Nothobranchius furzeri: one gene and its partner. Each later gene encodes a partner of the first gene's protein in a complex. Links are inferred from orthologs where the notes say so. Each region holds a gene or a part of one and is shown on either strand. Other genes may lie near its edges.

Region 1 (10,258 bases):
AAAATGTCTAAAATTGCAGAAGCAGCAACATTTGTGTTAAAATTTGTGTCATTCTCCCTCTTGGCCATGGGTGTGTGGAGGGGGCGAGAACCACAGTGTTGAGCTGTTTTTCCTTTTTGATTTAGATCGAAGCCGTGAGACGAGATGTCAACAAGAAGGGCTCAAATGGTGGTTCAGGCAATAAATCAAGAGTGAAACCTGCCACGGGTTCTCAAATTAGAGCAACCTCCCCATCACCAGAGCGGTAGGCAAAACGCCGTCGGACCGTGGTCACAAGTAGACTCTGATTGTAACGTGAACAGACAAAATTGCTTTTCCTCATGTGCTTGACCTAAAAGGAGCCCTCGACGATCGATCAGCAGACATTCGAGACCGCTGCAGCTGGAGCTCCCATCTGTTCCGGAAGAGGATGCTGCTGCATGCGGCTCTACCTTCTCTGCTGGCAACACAAGGCCTGTGAGGGGATCAGGTAAAGGTCAGCCAGAGAAACAAAGACAAGGCGATCCACCAGAGACTCCGTGTTCCAACCCGTCCGACTCTCAGCCTGAGGCTTTATCCAGAACAGCTCTGGGTGGAAGTAAGCCACAGAAAAGCCTAAAACACAGAGGCTGCTGAATGTTTCATTTTAAAGCTGATGCAGCTTTTCTTCTACTTCCTCATTCAGCTGCTCAGGCTCCTGAGGTCGTGACCCAGCCCTCCTCTGGCACTTCAGACCCAGAGGAAGCGTCACGTCTTTTGGCTGAGAAGAGGAAAGTGGCTCGACTAAAACGGGAGAAAGAGGAGCAGGAACGCCCACAGCGAGAGGAAGATGAAAGGTGAAGTCGTTTTTTAAATGAGAAATGAAAACATAAGGACATCTTTATGAATCCTGCAACTTCTGTTCAGGTGTAACCGTGAGGAACCGGAGCGCAGGAGAGCTCAGGAGCGAGCTCAACAGGAGGCTGAGGCCCAGAGACTCGTAGAAGAGAAGAGGAGGAGGGAGGAAGAGGAGCAGAGAAGAGCGGAAGAGGAGAGAGCTCAGGCTATAAAGGAAGCTGCCCTTCTGCAGAAGCAGGTGTCACAAATGTGCAGCTTTTACTGTCAGAGAGCATGAGGGGGAAAACGTCTGCATTACATGGAACCATGTTTATTTTTCAATCCTATTCCTGTTTTACTTGTGGATGTGTCTTACAGAGAGAAGAAGAATTATCAAAAGAAAGAGAGAGAGCTGAAGAACTGAAGAGAGAGCGAGACACTGCAGCACAGAAAGACGAGGCGGAACGCCAAGCAAGAAAAAAGGTCGGTTTGAAAATGAACAAAGATTCAGTGTCAGATTAACATTTGAGTTTATCTGTACACACGAGAATAAAAACATCCCAAGTTGTTCTCCTAAAGACAAAGACTATTTTTTTACAACCCTTTACAGAGACTTGAGGAGATCATGCGGAGAACCAGAAGGACAGATTCTCCAGATACAGTGAGATTTGCAGCTCAGTTTTCAAAACAGCACACCGCCCCGGGTCTCTTGTGACGCACATCCAGCAGCAGCTAATGAAAAGCACACAGCTCATCCTTGACCAAAACCATTTATCCTTTTATAATCACAGAAACCTGCACTAGCGAGGATCCTTCCAAGTCAGTCCCAACCAAAGGAAAACACAGTGCCTGCTGTGCAAAACGGAACGATAGAGGACGCTGTCAAGCTGCCAGTAGGGGCCAAGTCCTCCCAGCTGGGGTTCAGCAACGAGGAGGACGTGGTACCGGTGGTGGCCTTCAGAGAGCGAAGATCACTGAGAGCCCTTTCTGGTTTGGAGGAGATCCAGACCCAGCAAAGAGCAGGTGAGAAAAACTAACGTTAAACCTGTGTGCATGGGCCACCATTCAGGATGGTTGCCCCAAATTAGCAGCTTGTTCATCTGGATGCACATCTGGGTCGTCTATTCTCAAAGATGATTTACTTGTGGTCAGTGGTAAAGGGCCTACATTTGAATAGTGCCTTCTAGGCACTTTACAACACAATCACCCATTCACACACACAATCACACGCTGATGGTGATGAGCTACAATGTAGCCACAGCTGCCCTGGGACATACTGACAGAGGCGAGGCCTCCCATACACTGGCACCACCGGTCCGTCCGACCACCACCAGTAGGCAAGCTGGGCTAAGCGTCTATCCCAAGAACACAACAGCATTCTCTGGTAGAAGCCGGTATTGAACCTGCAACCTTCCGATTACCGGACTACCTGCTCTACCTCCTGAGCTACTGCCACCCCTAAAATGAAAGTGGAAGATTTTTATAATCCATGCATACTCTTCAAACCCTCTACACACTGAAAATGACTGATTTAATTCTGGGATGCATTTATCTGGATGTGTTTGGTAGTCTGAACACATCCCACCCTCACTTCGATGTCCTTAAACCCCCCCAAGGTAAAAAAGAAAGACAAATATATCGTCAGTTTTCAGACACTGTATCATTTCTGCATTGAAGTGGTTGAAAATACTCTTTAAAGCCTTTTTTGTAATAAGTTTTTGCATTTTTCCATTGTGCAGAAGTCATCTGATGTCCTGCTGAGTAGACAGGGACATCGTTGGAGAGCCGCAGGAAGCTGCAGAACAGCCATGTTGTTGCTAACCTTCAGCGCCTTGATGGAGCATGTAAACTCACAGCCTTGCCTCCTCGGGAGGACGTCAGCATCTTCTTACTAATCTGTTTGTAGTCAGTGGCACAAATATTACATCAGTTAAATATTACATATTAATCTAAAATAGCAGAATTCTGATCACTTACAGACGTATCCTAAAGTGCTGTAGAGCTCGTACCTGATGATAGTTTGTTGTCAAAGGCCGTTACTGACCACTCCAACAGTCACATCTTGTTCTGTGCTTTTCTGCTCTTACCTGATAGCTCTTGCTTCCAAAGTGCTCTGCCTTCCTTTGCAGATGTAGAATAGATCAAGACGTGTGTATGTGAAACATGAGTTACTGCAATCGGAGAGACAACAATCACATATGTAAAAGCTGCTACAGGAGCATAGCTTCCAAAGACTTGCTTTAATTTTATAAGTGTGTGTGTGTGTGTGTGTGTGTGCGTGCGTGCGTGCGTGTGTGTGTGTGTGTGTGTGTGTGTGTGTGTGTGTGTGTGTGTGTGTGTGTGTGTGTGGTTTTAGAGGATACAATGCACAATGCTGTTTTTGCACTGACTGTTGCTTTGATGTTGTAGCCTAGTGAACTAGACCAAATTCTTGCTTTGCAAAGTATGTCTAGGCATGCTCCATTGGAACCTCCACAGCTCCTACCAGGGCTCTGGCTGGCCAATCACAGCTCTCTAGAGGGGTTTCAAACACGTAAAGAGCTGTGATTGGTCCATAATGGTGGGCCAATCATAGTGCTCTATCTGCTTAGTGAGCAAATCACAGAGCTTTATCCGCTTTGTGGGCCAATCAGGGCACTCTATTTGCCTGGTGGGTGGGATGATGCAACAGAGTGAAACAAGAGTATGTCACATTCATTGTCCAATGGAATGCGGAGATCATTTGAAAGACAACGGTAGAACCCGCCCCACAACCGAGAGCCGTCAATGGAGCGTGGCCAGACTAAATAATACATTTATTTAGTCTGGCTTGCCAGGCTATTGATGTTGTGCAACCACCCAACAAAGCAAAGTCCCGTAGGTTAAATGTGTTTATTATAATAAAAGTAGAAAATGTGACGGATTCTTCCTATTTGATCTAATAGCTTAAGTGCTGCTCATGACTAGCTTGTTAAAGTGTCTGAATATATGCCATAATTGATTAAAGTTGAATCTATGCTCAATCTATCCTTTTGATCTCATGTTTAAATAAAAACAGTGGAGTAAAAACACTAAAATGCATGGTTCTTCAAGGATTCTCCATTCAGTGCATGAAAGTAAACATGTTCTGGGTGAGTCATGGGTTAACAGGAGAGAGGAGCATGGATCATTTGCAGCAGCTGCCTGATCTATCTGTGCATGCACCTCCCATAGCTAGTCCTCCAGCTCGCTGTTAGCCAGCACCGATGAAATGTGTCCATCTGCAGAAGAAGAAAGCACAAATCTCCTGTCTCATAGATCTAGTCTAAAAATCCTCAGAAAACTAACATAAAGCACAAACCAGTCCCGGACCGGATTATGTTCACTAGTACAAACTGCTCCTTCTTTTTGATACTTGGACGATCTATGATTGAATTACTCAAAGACTTTGGGTCATGTGAAAATGCTCATGCATCTAAATAGGAACTTTGGAAAATGAAAACAGAGATTTTAATGGAACATTTCTGCAGCTTTTCCTTTCATTTAAACAAAAATCCTTTTGCAGCTAATCTGGGCAGATCTCAGATCAGGGGTACCCAAAGTGCGGCCCTTAATGATTTTGTACATGGCTGTTACAGAAAATATATGGAGAATAAACTTAAAATGGAAAATAAATTAATAAACCCACGATTCTGATGGGTTTCACAAGGAAAACTCATGAGACGCCTTTAAAGTTTTATTGATCATTTTTTGCATAAATCTGAAATATTTTGGTATTTTCATTAATACGTTTTTATTTTTATTTTGAGCTAATCATCAAATAAGTGTGTTACTATTTGAATCCTATTTCATATTTCATATTTCAATCTCAGGTGTGTTCCTTAAGCAGGTACATTGAAGGTTTCTCTGAAAACTTCATTTACTTTTTGTTCAACATCTCCCCAAAATCTCTTCAAACGATCAAAAAGTCCTCTGAGCAACCTGGAGCAGCTCTCATAAAAGCCGTGATTCTTCACATGAAATGTTCTGACACTTGTGTCTGCTTCACCTGCAGGACTCACCTGTAAAGTCACAAGACTGTTATGTAATGCATAATTATAGTTTGTGTTAGGAATGTATATATAACTGTTCAGACACTTTACACATTTGTGCAAGTATCAAATAGAAAATCTATAGCTCAAGACAACTTGAATACTCTGACATGATAATTTTCTTAATTCATCCTTCACTGAAGTTACAAAGCTCGAAAAGTAAACCATGAATGTATGTGTTCTCCAACTTTTATCTTAATTAAAAATATAGCATTTTACGGGTAGAAACGTATAAGTAAATTTAATCCTGACTAATTTGTGGGAGAAAGAAGTGAGCCACACTGTTTGCTTTGAGCTCTTGCAATAAGTTAGGAAAATCCAAGTTTATGTTCGTCTTTGAACGCAGCATTTGGGGGGAGCTACACTCATTACGTGCTATAGCGTTCTCGTGTCCTTAAATTTCATTGGTTACATTTTTGTTTGTTTATCTACGTCGCTCCGCCCGTACGTTGTTGACTTGGAAACCATCACGGCGTTGTGCGGTAGAGGACAGTTTAAGCGTAACCCGCGTTCAAACAAGGAGTTTCAAGTAGAAAGCTCACATTAACTTATTAAAAACAATTATATGGTTATATTTTGGTTCAATAATGTATTTCAATAACAAAGATATAACTTTTTTAGGCGTAGTACGTGACCAGAGCAATTTAGCTAGCAACTAGCTAACTAGCTTCTGGTGAAATAGCTAACAAATATTATTAATAAAACATCTCGTGTGTCTCCGTTAAGCGGACACGTTCTAGTATCATTAAGTGAAACTTAATGCTCACTTTAGAGTCGCGAATGTGAGCTGCGACATTTTGCTTTGTATTTTAGATACGCTTTTTTCTGGATTATTGGCGTTTTTCCCTCAGAATGAGAAACAGCACGATGTTTGAAAATGCCAGGTGAGTGTTCAGCTGTCCTGAAGCGACTAAAGAACAATTTTTGTGAATAAATCAATTAAAAAATATATAGAAATTATTTAATAACTAGTAAACCAGTCAAATATCTTTCAGTGACCACCCAATCCAGAGATTAAAGTTTTACACTAAATAAAAAATATATATTAAGTGTTATTGTTAAATTAATATTAAAATCCTTTTAATTTATTACATTCTCTCAGATTATTTGATGTTGTTTTGTATTTTCATGGAAGTCAAACAAAACCAAAGCTGGCAGTAGCTCAGGAGGTAGGGCAGGTTGTCCAGCATCCAGAAGGTTGCAGGTTTGATCCCAGCTCCCGCCAGAGAATTGTGTCGTTGGGCAAGACACTTAACCCATCTTGTGGTGGTCGGAGAGACCGGTGGCGCCCGTGTTCAGCAGTCCCCCTTCTGTCAGTGCGCCCCAAGGCAACTGTGGCTACATTGTTGCTCATCATCACCAGCATGTGTATGTGTGTGTGTGAATGACTGATTGTGTTGTGGTGCGCCTTGGGGGGTTGTTGAACCCTAAGAAGGTGCCGTACTATTACAGGCCACTACCATATGTAATCAGTGTTTTTTTACAACCACTTACAAATTCAGCAAATGATTCTAAAGTGTTTATCTCAAGCAACTTTTGTAATCAAGAATTGTATAGATAACAAAAAATAAACATTTCCAGGTGTGAGTGAAGAGACCCGGGAAAGATTTAATGAAGTCTTCAAAAAATATTCAGGATCTGAGAAGAAAAAGTCAAAGAAGAAAATCCATGAAGCAAACGAGACCATAGTGGTAGGTGTTCTGACATGTGCTGTTTTCCACCCAGTGGTTGTCATCAAATGTTCTACATTCTGGCTGCAGTGTTGTATTCAAACTTGAGTTATTTATGAAATATAATTATAGAAAGCATCTGCAACAGAAGAATGTTCTATTTTCTTTAATGTGAACCAGTTCTAGCAATTTAAAATATTAATAAATCACATGTATTATTATTGTCGATCTCTTTTTTCAAAGCTTCAGAATCTGACCAGGAAGCTGAACCTTGAGAAAGACACAGAAGATGACGAAACCATTCTGCAAAACACATATGACCCTGAACAGGGCAGCCCTCGTTATTCCAAAAACAAACGAAGAGAAAAGGAAACAGCAGAACAGGTTAACTGTAACAACAGCAAGGATGAAGAAGTTAAAGCATCAAAAGCCAAAAGGAAGAGTAAGAGGGACCTCCCTTCTTTACCTGTACCCAAAGACATTCCAGAGGACTTACAGGAGGGGGCAAATGCTTCTAGAGCCGACAATACTTTGAATCCAGAAGCTGCTGTTGGTGAAAAGAAACGAAAAGGAAAAAGTAAGAAGGGAAAAGTCAGAGAAAATGTAGAAGATGTTGCAGAGAGTCCGGTGGAGGATCCAGAAGATAAACTACTGCATGAATACCAGCAGCAGATGGCACAGGAAGAGGAGCTGACTGTGAAGAAAACAAGGGTCAAACGGGAAACTGTTAACTCACAAAGTGCTGTGTTGAATAATGATATGGGGAAGAAGAAAAAGAAAAAGCTGAAATCTGTAACAACTGAGTCAGATGTAGGGTGTGTATTTCTCTCTAATTTTAGCTTTATTGTAGTTTTTGATATCAAGAATAAAGTTTAAGCAGCATTTTGACTTTTTTTTTCTTTAATCAGGGATCAAGATGAGGAAGTCAATCCAGATGCTGATGAGGAAAATAAAACTGAATCAAAGGGAAAGAAGAAAAAGAAGAAGAAGCACGGTAGTTTTTTAAAACAAAGTAATTTGTGTAACATAAAAAGAGATTTTGATGAGTTATTTTTCTCAACTTTTTAGTTGTCAAAGAAGAAAGTGAAGCTGAAGCAGCAGAGGAGCAAAAGCCGACATTTGATGACGGTCTTGTTCTGGGAGTGTTCGTTCATAAAACGGATCGCCTGAAGACGGACTTACTGATCTCGCACCCCATGGTGAAGATCCACGTTGTTGATGAGATCACGGGCAATTATGTGAAGAAAAGGGACTGGTGAGAAGAAGTTATCTCTGATCTTATGCTGCTACACCTATCAGCGTTAAAATATTTGGGCTACAGTTTAAAAAAATGTTTTCATGCTCAAACATTTAATTAAAAGTGAAATCTGTTTGTGTTTTGAAGCCATCGACCTGTGTCTTCCTATTATGAGGGACAGAACGTCGACCATATCCTCCCTATCATGACTCAGCCTTTTGACTTCAAGAAGAACAAATCCATCATCCCCGAGTGGCAAGAGCTAATCATATTCAACGAACGCTTTGGCTACTTTGTTGAGCAAAAGGATGAAAGCCCCAGAGTCATCCTCTTCTTTGAAGTGAGATATACTTCATTACCAAGTGAATAACCATATTTTAAGAAAAGTCACTTATTTTCTAAATATTTTTTAAGATCCTGGATTTTAAGACCATGGAGGAGGTAAAAGCCAACTTGGACGTTGATAAACACGAGCAAGGGTTCAGAAAGGTCGCATGGGCGTTTCTGAAGGTAAAGAGAACATTCTGTTCACTTGTCAGTCTATATTTGTTACTGTTCATCATTTTTAAACATGTTTTCTCTCCATATTTTAGCTTGTTGGCACAAATGATGTTTTAAACATCGACAGTAAACTTCGTCTCCAGCTCTTCTGCCCTCCACCTCGGGCAAAGAGACAAACTAAAACGATAGAAGTGTTTGAGTGGTGGAGGAAGTACCCACGAATCCATTATGCTTCCACCCTTTATGTTACCGTGAAAGGGATCAAACTCCCAGAACATGTAAGTCTGCAGCTAGAAACTGATGATTCATTACGTTTTTCTGTTGTCCATACTTCTACTTTGGTAAAGCAGAGTTGGTTTGTGCCGTTTGTGCAGGTGGACCCCGGTATCCGATCTATGATGGCGCTACAGGAGGAGAGAGGCAGCACCACCTATAGTGATCTGCAGAAAGAGATCACACAGAAAACTCTGACACAGCCTCCTGATAGCAAGCAGCCGATCCTGAGATGGAGCCGTGCTGTTGGTCAGGTCGGCGGAGGCTCCAAGTCACATGATGCTGCTTTCTATCAAATGTTTATTATCTGATCTACTTAAGGAAGTGAAGAGCTCAGGACTAGACCTTGTCTGTGTGTTGCAGATCTGCCGAATCCCTAACAAACTGGTCTGGTCGTTCCGTGGGGGTCAGATGGGATGTTTCACCGTACTGTTTTCTCACGCTGGAACCATGCTGGCTGCTGCTTGTGCCGACAAAGATGCTTTCCCCGTCGTAGGTGAGCCACACCTCATCTGTACAAAATTCACCTTATTTGTGAGCAGCAACGATTTTGGGAGTTTCTTTACACAACTTTGTATTGAAGTCCTCAACCATCCATGCATGCAGGAGAAGGGAGAGGAAGCACCTTTTAAAAGAACGTATTTGTCTAATTTTCCAGTGTATGAGATTCCCTCCGGCAGAGCGTTAGCTGCCTTCAGCGGCCATCTGAAGATAGTGTACGATCTCTGCTGGTCCAGAGATGATAAAAGCTTGTTGTCTGCCTCCTCAGACGGAACGGTGAGGTAAGTTCCCACAAGAGGGCGCAGTAGCCTCTCCTACTATATCAGTGTGATTTTGTTAAGCTTCGGAATACATTTTATAAAACAGCACTTTCTTCCTTTTCATCTCCTCCTTCAGAGAGTGGAATGTCGAGATGCTTCTAGAAACAGCCCAGAAGGTCCTCTCTCATCCGTCCTTCGTGTACTGCGCTCAGTACCACCCCAGCGCTCAGAACCTGGCAGTGACAGGGAGCTACGACTGTCTGGTGCGAGTGTGGAGGCTTGATGTCCCTGATGTGAACGGCCAGCTGCTGCAAGAGTTTGAGGGTCACAGCAGCTTCATCAACACCATTTGTTTTGACTCTGAAGGTATTAGCTTCCAAATGTTTAGATGACCCCACCAAGTCCTTCCCATCTGGTTCAGTCCCTCCTAAACACCTCTGACTGTTTATGGTAATTTCTTTTGTGTAAACAGGATCTAGGATGTTCTCTGCAGACAACACAGGCACCATCATCGTGTGGAAAACTTCAGTGAATGATGACAAGAACCGACAGAAGCCATGTCATCGTTGGTGCATAGAGAGGGTACGAGTCTAGATTAGAGCCCGTGTGGGACTATTCTTTATGTTGTCTGTTTCTGTCACTCCCATGCAATCTCGCAAAGTTTGTGTCCAACCCCACCTCCACCTGCAGCTCCATTAAATAACAAAACAACATGTTTTACGATCAAATACGTTTATATTTATGTCGCGTGTTACCTCTGTAGCCTCAGTTGTACTCTTCATCCTATCAACAGTCTTGAGATTCGTGGTATACTTCTAGCCACCCGCTCCCTCCTACAGCAGTCTCACAACTGCCAGCATCCACCAGATTAGCGTTGGTTTCTGTGGGATCCCAGTCCCAGTGTAGGGCTCTAGTCTAGATTTGTTCAATTGGAGTCAAACTAAATTCTCACAGACACAAAAAGATATTTTT
Region 2 (9,749 bases), on another chromosome or scaffold:
CGGTACCGTCCGCCGCATCGGATAAACCCAAAACACTCCCTCAGCGCCGAGTTTAATCAGCAATTTGCCTACTTTCAAGCCCAGCAATGGATTTTAACCTCTCAGTAATCTGCTGCTGACAGAGAGCGCACCGACTTTCCAGACCGAGATGATTTAACGACCCTCTCAAATCTGTTCGACTCTGTGGCTGCTGCAGTGTTTATCTTTCCACACTGACGCAACTGCATGGTCCAGCTGCTCAGATGCTCTCCATGTTCAGCAGCACTAACTTATGAAATGGAAAGAATGGAAATAAATAGAAAATCCCTTTATTGTCCCTCAGTGGGGAAAGCTTGGTGTCACAGCAGCAATAACATTCATTAAAGGAGCAACAAAGGAGATTAAAAAATAAGAATATACAAGAAAATATAAAATAGAAATACTTAAAAAATTCAAAAGATCAAAAAACAATGCTGAATGTATACACATTTTAAGGAATACAAGTCTTTAAAAGAATTGAGACATAATAAGTAACGAATACCACCGATGTGCTTTATTAAACATTGATTTGCTCGTGTGTAATTTTGTTATTCCAGATTCAGTGTTACTGCAAAACTAAGTTTGTTTCCAAATGAATAGGTTCAACCATACACAGCTGTAGATAAAGGAAAATGTGCACATTGTTATCACTTTAAAAATATATATATATTGAATTTGGCCCACGACTTCGTCCCAGTTTTTCATTTCGGCCCAGTGGGAATTTGATTTGGACACCCCTGACCTGGAGATGATTATTTTGACTGAAGCTCCTCTAGAGACCATGAAACCTGGGTACAGCGGCTGGGAGAAAGTGGTCTGAACCTTGTGGAGGAGCATCATCTCACCGGCATCAGACACACAGTAAAATGACAAGTTCCCTGCTTTGTGGTTCAGATAAACGTCCACTGTAGGGGAGACTGGAGCAGATATTTTGGTTTTTCATTCCACTGTGCCAAAAATAGCTCGAAGAGTTTGTGAAGGAAATGCACCAGGACCGATCTGTGTATCCAAAGTCACTTTCTTCCAGCTTGGCTTGTTTGTGGCACAAAGCAACCTTGACCCGAGGGTCCCTCCATTCAACCTCCCAGTAACAAACACCAGACAAACCCTCAGAGCACAACACCTGATCGGATTTTGTGAATCTCTCCGGGTGGTTGGGATAGTGCTGGGCCCTCTTTATCCAGGTCACCTTAGTGTTTCCCTCAGAGAGCAGCAGGTTGTCAAATGCCGTGTTGGGATTCAAACTCAGGCTGCAGGAATCTGAAATGTCCAAAGAGAGACAATGTGATTCAGTTTGATCACTGCTGAAGCCAGATGGGAAATGTTTTACACAAATCACTCACACACAGACATATCCTGCCTGGTCTTTGGATTGGCGTCAGCTTCAACTAAAAACAGAAGATGGGATGTTTCATTAAGAGCACCACACACACACACACACACCAGAACATATGTTTTCTTACTTGTTTCTGACATTTCTTGAATAGCTTTTGTCGCAATTTCCATTTTGTCTCTCACGTCGGACAAAGCCTTTGTCACAAAATCAAAGGCTACATGTGGGTCAAAGTTGCACGTAGGGCTTGCATCAAGTTCTTTCCCATCAAAAATCTGCCTGTATTGCTGGACAATTATAAAACAAGAGCATTAAATTCTGCCATATAAACTCCATAAACTGTGCATGAGTTTGTGTTTTTTCACCTCCAGAAAATAAATGTTATCATCAGTTAATAACAGCTGCTTCAGCTCATCCCGTCTCTTCCTCAGATCACTGGTTTGCCTCTGGAGTCGTCCTATGAGTGCCTCAGCCTGGCCCAGAGCTGCTTTTTCCTGATGCATGATCTGTTCCTTCAGAGCAGCACGTCTTTAATCTGCCACCAACACCAGTTCAGCATAGGCCTTCTCATTTTGATCAAGTGCTGCATCTCTAGAGCACTGAAAGAAAGAAAAATAAATATATACACATATTATTTAATAATTTAATAATGTGTTCGTGTTAATCTGTTAACTATAACCACCTGTAATGCTTTTATTTTCTGTCTCAGCTGTCGCAGACGCTTCTCTTTTTCATGAAGTCCTTGCTGGAATAGCTTCTTGTGTCCAACATGTTTCTAATAAAATATAGAAGTTTTACTTATTTGTTTTTGCTCAATAATGTGTTCAACCACAAGGACATTTAAAATGTAGGAATAAAGTCTCTACATTTTATCTATATGCTGTATCTTTGGGATCCAATAACCAACCAAAAAAAGCGTACCTGTTTCTCTTTCCGCCCTGCTGCAGCTGATACAGTGTAATGACCTTTGTGCTCATCCATGACACAAAGCAGACAAATGCATTCATCGTCAGTGCGACAGCAAACCTCCAGCAGCTTGTCGTGCTTAGAGCAGATCTTCTCTTGCATGGAAGATGACACTTCCACCAGCTTGTGCCTTTTGAAAGCAGCAGACTCAGTGAGGCTGCACATGTGTGGCACAATAAGAGGCCAGACACACCAAGCACGATCTGATAGCTTTCAGCTTCTTCACAGTGCAGAAATCACACTCCACACCTTCTGACCCAGACTCCTCTTCTCCAGCAATGGTGGCTTGGTCTGATTTAGCCAGTTTTACTATCAGATCAGCCAGAACTGTGTTCTTGTTCAGCACAGGTCTTGAGGGGAATGTGTGTAGACACTGAATACAGTTGTAAACACCTCTCGTCTCCTTCAGGACCCAGTAGCTGTTCACACAGTCCATGCAGAAGTCCACATGTCCACAGTAAAGAGGGTTCTTCATCAGCTTTGAACACATGTAGCTGGACAGAGAATCAGCTGCCTCTCTTGTTGCAGCCATCCTAGTTTCTGCTAGAGCGGGAGTGGCTTCACACACAATCAGTAATTTTCATTTTCTCTTAAAGCAAAAAAACAACAACTATGAAACAGGTTTTTTCCTCCTCCTGGTGTTATTTGCCTGACTTGTATAACTAAAAAAAACTTACTGAGCATGGTTCCCATAAGTATGGAAGCCCATTCCTGCCACTCTGATTAAAAAAATGTATCTCATAATTATGACTTACCTATCTCATAATAACAAGACACAATCTCATTATTTAGGGATAGCGTCTCATAATTATGAGATACTATCTATTCATTTCAGCCCCACATCTCATCACGTAGGGTGGAAATTAATCATTAAATGGTATGAATGGTTTGATTAATTAAATTTCATGAACTATTTTTTACTGATTCAAGACTTTGTTAACCCTCCCACTGTCTTTATGGGTGACCCCGCGAGGAAAGTTGACCATAAAGCAGGATTGATGGTTTATCCCTTGAGGTCCACGTGGCAGGGGTGAGGTGGTGCTCACTCCTCACCCCTGCCACGTGGACCCAAGGGATAAACCATCAACCCTGCTCAATGGTCAACTTTCCTCGTGGGGTCACACCCATTAGGACAGTGGGAGGGTTTAAATATGTGCACCAAATTTTACTGGTGCAGAGAGGGAGGGAACTAGACAACACCTATTGAATACATACTATTTTTACATACACATTTTTTGCAGAAAGCCACAATTTTGTTTCACTTAAAACATTGTCAAAGAGAATCAACAGAGGGTTCGATAGAATGTTCGAATACTAAAATGTTCGATAGCTGCAACCCTAGTATCACTATAATGAGATAGCTAGTAAAAATTATGATGCTGTCTCATAGTAACTAATTATTCTGAGACATAAAGCCATATCAAATGCTATCTCATAATAATGAAATGAGATATTTTTTAATGAGTAGCGTTAATCAGCTTCCATAAATATTATTTGAGCTACACATTATACTCTCCCCCCTATCTAGTCTCGCTTTTTAAATTTTTATTATCAATGTAGTTAAAATCTGGGAAGTTTTGAAAACGCAAAAGGAGACACGTTTTGCTTCTGGCCTTTCACTTTCTCTCACCCCCACTACCATCAATGGTTACCATGGAAACGACGGTGGCTTTCACGACGGAGCTAGTAGGAAAAAGCGGAAGTGTTTCTCCTCTGGTCATGTTGTTTTTAGCCTGATTTTCTTTGCAATGGAGCTGCCGGAGACAGTTAGGAGGCGCTTAGAAGATTTTTCTCGGAATGTTTTATTCGACCAGACTCGTAATGAGCCGTTCTCAAAACACAACGACTCGTTTATACCTCACGGTAAAAAAAAAAAACAAAAACACAAGCTAACTATGAAGTCGAGTTAGCATGGATGTTAGCATGGATGTGTGTAGCCTTGTTACTTTACCATACCGATTTTAGTTAGTTCCCCTCATTTTTTTTGTATGTGTTTAGACAAACGGGTTCTGTCCAGCCTCCAGCTCCAGATGTCTTTGTACTTTAACACGTGGTTCTTCCCGTTCTGGTGGATCAGTGAAGCTGTGATGCTTCACCTCAAGGTACGAGGTTGGTGGATGGAAGCCGCGAGCAGAAAACCCAGAAAGAAAGAAAAATCCCAAATATCTAAGCTAGATTTAGGATACTTTGGTGCTTAAGTATGGATATGTATTAAACTATAGCAATTCATTTTAGAATCAGATTTTTCATGTATGTTTTGAAGCTTCCAACACAACAAGAATGCTGATGGTAGTTGTTCTTGCAGTATCCTGCCCTTCCAAATTACTACAAGTTTGTCCTTGTGACTGTTCTTCTACTGATGACTCTGATTGAGGCCATCAGACTTTATCTTGGTTACTCTGGAAACCTGCAAGAAAAGGTGAGACCATCTCAGATGACATGATACAGGTGCTGAATGCAGGGTGGGGTTTGAATGTAATTTCTGATCTGTGGAAGGTTCCAGAGTTGGCCGGCTTTTGGCTGCTGAGCATCCTGCTGCAGTTTCCACTCATTCTTTTTCAACTTTTTAATGAAGCCATAATCATACTGCCCTTGGAGAGAGGTGTCCACATAGTTCTTGCCATATTTATCCTCACACAGGTATGACTGGATTCTCAGCTCCATTTTACGTGGCAAATGCACCTAAATACACATGTTATTGTGTTTTCTCAAATTTGAGATCAAGTAATTGTGACTGATTGTAATCTGTTTTTTTTTTGTTTTCTGATTGATCCAGGCTGTCTTTGGTTTTGTGGCCCTGCGGGAAATGGTTAGACACACAGGAAGCCAGTTTCATCTCCAACAGTTTGACTGACGTCCACATATGTTCTGGTGTTCCATTTGATCAGGATTTATTCTTACTTCATACCTCCCAGTCTCAAATGACAAAAACTATGTATTTGCATATAGGATTTGGTACACTTTCTTCACACAATTTTAAATTTAATGCTAAAAAATAATAGAAAATATTTATTTTTGTATTTTGTTCCACTTGTATCATTGCTTTTGTAAATTTGAAGTAAATCATGTTTACTTGACTCACTCTGTACTGTTAGTTAGCATCTGGTTTAGATTTGTTGACCATTTAGTTATTTTTTAATTACAAAAGAAATTTTTGTACAAAGTTACCGACATTTACGCTGCTCTTTGTTCAGGAGCTTTTTGCTTCAGAGGGACTGAAACGTTCTGACCAAAACAGAAAGTTTCAACAAAATTCATGAAACACCCAAGTGCTTTATTTTATTTTATATTTTTTACAACATTTATTTTCATGTACTGAAAATATTATTTGAGAAATCATGAGATTGCATTAGAATAATCAGAAGAATTAAAGCATGTTATTGTCACAAGACGAAGAGATAAGTGAGATTTGGTATAAAACGTATGTGTTTTTCTGTTAGATCTTCCCAATGAAGCATCATTGTCACAAAAATAACTTGTTCTATTAAAATGCAGCTGAACTTTGAGAAGAATCCTGGCACCCGTTTCACTGCTTTGTCTTGATTAGGTTTGTGTTTGATGTGGAGGACGCCTGAAGACAAGATCTGTTTCTAAAACGATGCCGACTGCTGGTATTGGTGGAGGTGAAACTCGTCAGCGGCTGGTTTTTTGGAACAACAGCTGGAGCCATGCTGGTAGACAAAGATGGGGGACATCTGCCATGAAAGCAACACAGCATACAAAAATTATGAACACACAACACACCCTTTTGTAATAAACTATAATCTATCCATGAAGTTTACCTGCCAGGTGCTGCAAAAGGAGATGTCAGCCCTGAAAGAAGAAGGTGGTTCGCATTAGGCAAAAACCGATGGAGACTTTAAGCTGCTGTTCAAGAAACAAACCTCTGCAGACTTGAGAGTGGGAAAGAGATTGGCGCAGAGGGAAACGCTGGTGCTGCGCAGAGGGAATGAAAGTTGGAGGAAGTGGAAGGAGAGCACTCAGGTGTAGTAGCTGAGAGGAGCATTTCCACTGTCCTCTCACTATTGCATCACCTGTGAAACGAGTCATGCGTCCTTATCTGCTGGAAAACCTCCTATGTGTCTCCTAACCTTACCTGAGTGGGGTGACGCAGCTGCGCGCGTGTCGGCATGTGGAGACGCTCTCCGCTGAAGGCATGAAGTGCACCGGCTCCCTGAGCAGTTTTCCTAAAACACACAAAAAAATACCATAGAAAGATCCACAAGTTGGAATTAAAATAACACTTTTTATTATCTTTCATTAATGATCAAAAATTAAAGGTCATGTAATTTTGTAGCAGAAATAACAGTTACACTTGACAATAGAGGCCCCATTATTAATCTTAGTGCATTAATAAACAAAACATTTCCACTATTGTTAACTATTAGGTGTCCTTAAGGTTAGGACAAAGGGCCATGGACGATATCTGCTTAGTAATGCATTACATAATATGGTTAAGCTGTTGTTAACACTTTTATCTAATAATTTATTCATGCTTAATAATGCACTAAGTAACATTAATAAAGGGACCCTTATTGTAAAGTGTTACCGAAATAATGTTTACCAAGATGTGCTTGCAGTCTTTCCTCAGAGTCCCCTGACTGGCGTCTCCATGGTTACCAGTGGGAGATGAGAGTTCAACCTTTTTTATGAGGGTGTTGAGCTTCAAAATAAAAGTCTCTTATCAGGAAATCAAACTTCCCACCTAGTTACTTGTATCACATATCATATTTCTACTTACTGTAGTTTTTACCTGCTGTTTCCTTCTTTCTCCTCCAACAGGTTTCTCTCTTTTTCTCTGCTTATCTGTGTTGTCCTGAGGCAGGTCAGCCTCCTGCAGAAACGGTTACTCATCAGCTTACAGAACTAATTTAATCTGAGCAGCAAGGGCTCTTTACTAGTCTTACGATACTCGTGCTGCTGCGTTGTAGGACTTTTGGCCGTGCACTACTCCTCGCTCCGTCTGGCTGCAGCCCGTTTCTTTCTCTGCGAGACTTCAGTCGTTTCTTTTTCTTCTTGACTTTTTTCTGTAGGAGAGAACAATGTGAGTAGGTAATTACCCAAAACAGGGAATGATGAGCTGCTGAGACTTTTTTTTTAACGAAGTGACAAAAGTAACTTTTACTGCACACTGCTCTGTCCCTATTTCCTAGCAGTCATGGGACAAAACACCTGGAAAAGACCAAGTATAAAATATTTCTTTTTTTCAGTGTCAGGTGTGCTTCATACCAACATTTATTTGTTTAAATTGGGTATTTTTAAATGAAATAACTAACAATGCTACAAACTAATTTCCCTTAGAGGAAAAAAACAACATAATTTGGTTTAATTAGTCTTTGTATACTTCTGCATTCTGCAGCTGCTGCAGGAGATGAACTGGAAGTCCATCTGAGTCAGAGCTGTTTGAGCCACCGGTGCTGCAAAAGCAAAGCAGAGTAATGCACATCAGTTTCATTCAGATTTCCCTGAATGGCACTAGATTCAAGAAACTGAAACATTATTTCACCTTGTTTCCAGTTCAGACACAGAGACCTTTTGGTCGGTGCCCACATCTTTGCCAGTTCTCTCTCTGACCTTCTTCCCCAGCATTGTTGCCAATTCTGTCAAACAGTGTGTAACCTAAAATAAAATAAATAAAAAACACAAAATTAACCTCTAAACCTGCACAGAACAAACATCTCACACCATTTAATTACACTTTTTAAACCTGATTTATTTATTACAGTTTGTAGAATATATTGTTTCTTTTAGGTGAAAAGGAGCATTTTGTGATCTCTCGCCTTCGTCTTGTCGGGGTCACAGAAGTCCAGCAGGGTGTCACAGAAGTTAAAGCCCAGGGACTTCAGGTCTTGAGTGGAAAAGTGAGTCCCTCTCCTGTCATCTAAAGTAAAAATGAAGAAATGATGGTGTAAGTGTAGAAATGCATCAACATAATAGAGGGGGAGCATATTCACCCAGAGTGGAGCCTCCAAAGGTGGCCTCCATGGTGTAGCTGTTCCTGATGCCGAGTTTCCACATGGAGATTCGCCCAGTCCCCTCTTTGTTTTTCTCCACCCGGAATTTGCAGCTTTTAAAGGAGAACTAAGAGTAAAGATTTAGATGAGACACGGAGATAAAAACCAACTTCTTAAACAGGCAAACTAGAAATGTGATATAAAACTCTGTATAGTTTTTTTTTTTTTACCTTGTTGCTTGCGTTCTTGCTCATCATTAGTGGAAAGACCCTCTCTTTAAGTGTGAGGGATGCGTCGCCTCGGCTGCTGCAACCATACATGAAAACGTTGTTTTTTCTGTTGTGGCCGTGGAAGTCGCAGTATAGAAGCACCTCTGTGTCGGCCATCAGTCTGGAGAAAGGGTGGGTGGAGATAAACACAAAGTCTCACTCAGACCAGAAAAATTTTTGAATTTTTCACAAGATATATAGGAAAGTTTTGCTATTTTAAACTTGATAAATGAATAGCAGATTACATCCAAACAGGATAAAATGGAGATGACCGGGTTAAAGACCAGCCTGCAGGTTTTAGATCATACAATTTGATTTATTATATGTTTAAAATAGGGGCAAGAATTAAAATTCAACCCTAACCCCCCAACTGGAGACTGAAAAATTTTAGCATCGCAATTTATGCCCTATATATCAATCATCAAGCTGCACCTCAAACACTAGAGCCTGGACTGGAAGACCATAGAAACTTTTTTATGTGCTCCAAACACAAGTAAAACTACAATTAAATGAATCGTGACAAATCATTCTTCATGAAGGAAAGAAAGGATGAAAAAACTTTTACATTTTTACTGTTAAGTTTTGTAGTTGGTAGAAAGCAGGCAGGCGGTACCTGTATGAACTTTATTACAGCAGGAGGAACAAGCATGTTGTAACTATCTGCAGAACTTCCCCTGAACTCTACACTACACCTCTATGTATATCAGTAGCACTCAGTTCAGTACACATTTACAATGTTCCGTGTCCATTTACACTTCATCAATAACACATTTACTAATATTTACACATCTCAACCAATCACATGATGGTTACCTTTATAATGAGACCAAAGTTATCAAATAGACCTTGTGGTTACAGAAATATACTCACTAAAGTGTGGGTGTGCCATCTGTGCCTCACTAACATTATTTTTTATTTTAAAAATTTGCTTGGGCCCAAACTGTCTTGAACGATAAAAATGCGATTAATCAAAATTAATTACAAAGCCTCTAATTAATTTGATTATTATTATTTTTTATCCTACCTTTAGTTTAGAGCTGTGAGTATTCTTGGGGATTTTTTTCACATCTTTTAATTTTTAAGTTATTTATATGTTTGTTTTTAAAACACGATTCTATCATATCCACAGTATATGTTTGACTCCCATTTAAAAGAATAAAATGAAATATTTAAAAACTGCCGAAAGCATATCATCTGTGTTTTGCCGGA

What was found. The genes of interacting proteins can lie anywhere in the genome.
Region 2: ahi1 (region 1) and tmem17 share a complex: the UniProt entries of both Homo sapiens proteins name them as parts of the tectonic-like complex. The link is inferred for Nothobranchius furzeri from reciprocal best matches to the Homo sapiens genes AHI1 and TMEM17.

The regions. Positions count from the first base shown.
Region 1 is NC_091758.1:20,116,896-20,127,153, forward strand, and holds the start of ahi1 (jouberin), read left to right. Parts: upstream 1-5,303; 5' UTR 5,304-5,721; coding exon 5,722-5,728; intron 5,729-6,425; coding exon 6,426-6,535; intron 6,536-6,757; coding exon 6,758-7,329; intron 7,330-7,422; coding exon 7,423-7,508; intron 7,509-7,582; coding exon 7,583-7,769; intron 7,770-7,898; coding exon 7,899-8,091; intron 8,092-8,165; coding exon 8,166-8,261; intron 8,262-8,344; coding exon 8,345-8,530; intron 8,531-8,626; coding exon 8,627-8,779; intron 8,780-8,888; coding exon 8,889-9,021; intron 9,022-9,183; coding exon 9,184-9,307; intron 9,308-9,422; coding exon 9,423-9,652; intron 9,653-9,758; coding exon 9,759-9,868; intron 9,869-10,258. Other genes in the region: map7a (ensconsin), read left to right, coding at 126-244, 339-577, 665-815, 886-1,054, 1,174-1,278, 1,406-1,456, 1,587-1,818, 2,535-2,545. UniProt on the Homo sapiens protein: Involved in vesicle trafficking and required for ciliogenesis, formation of primary non-motile cilium, and recruitment of RAB8A to the basal body of primary cilium.
Region 2 is NC_091744.1:77,710,307-77,720,055, forward strand, and holds tmem17 (transmembrane protein 17B), read left to right. Parts: upstream 1-3,982; 5' UTR 3,983-4,065; coding exon 4,066-4,180; intron 4,181-4,315; coding exon 4,316-4,419; intron 4,420-4,622; coding exon 4,623-4,736; intron 4,737-4,813; coding exon 4,814-4,957; intron 4,958-5,093; coding exon 5,094-5,171; 3' UTR 5,172-5,829; downstream 5,830-9,749. Other genes in the region: agbl2 (cytosolic carboxypeptidase 2), read right to left, coding at 5,844-6,012, 6,100-6,130, 6,202-6,351, 6,414-6,504, 6,882-6,980, 7,059-7,151, 7,225-7,344, 7,662-7,734 and 4 more. UniProt on the Homo sapiens protein: Transmembrane component of the tectonic-like complex, a complex localized at the transition zone of primary cilia and acting as a barrier that prevents diffusion of transmembrane proteins between the cilia and plasma membranes.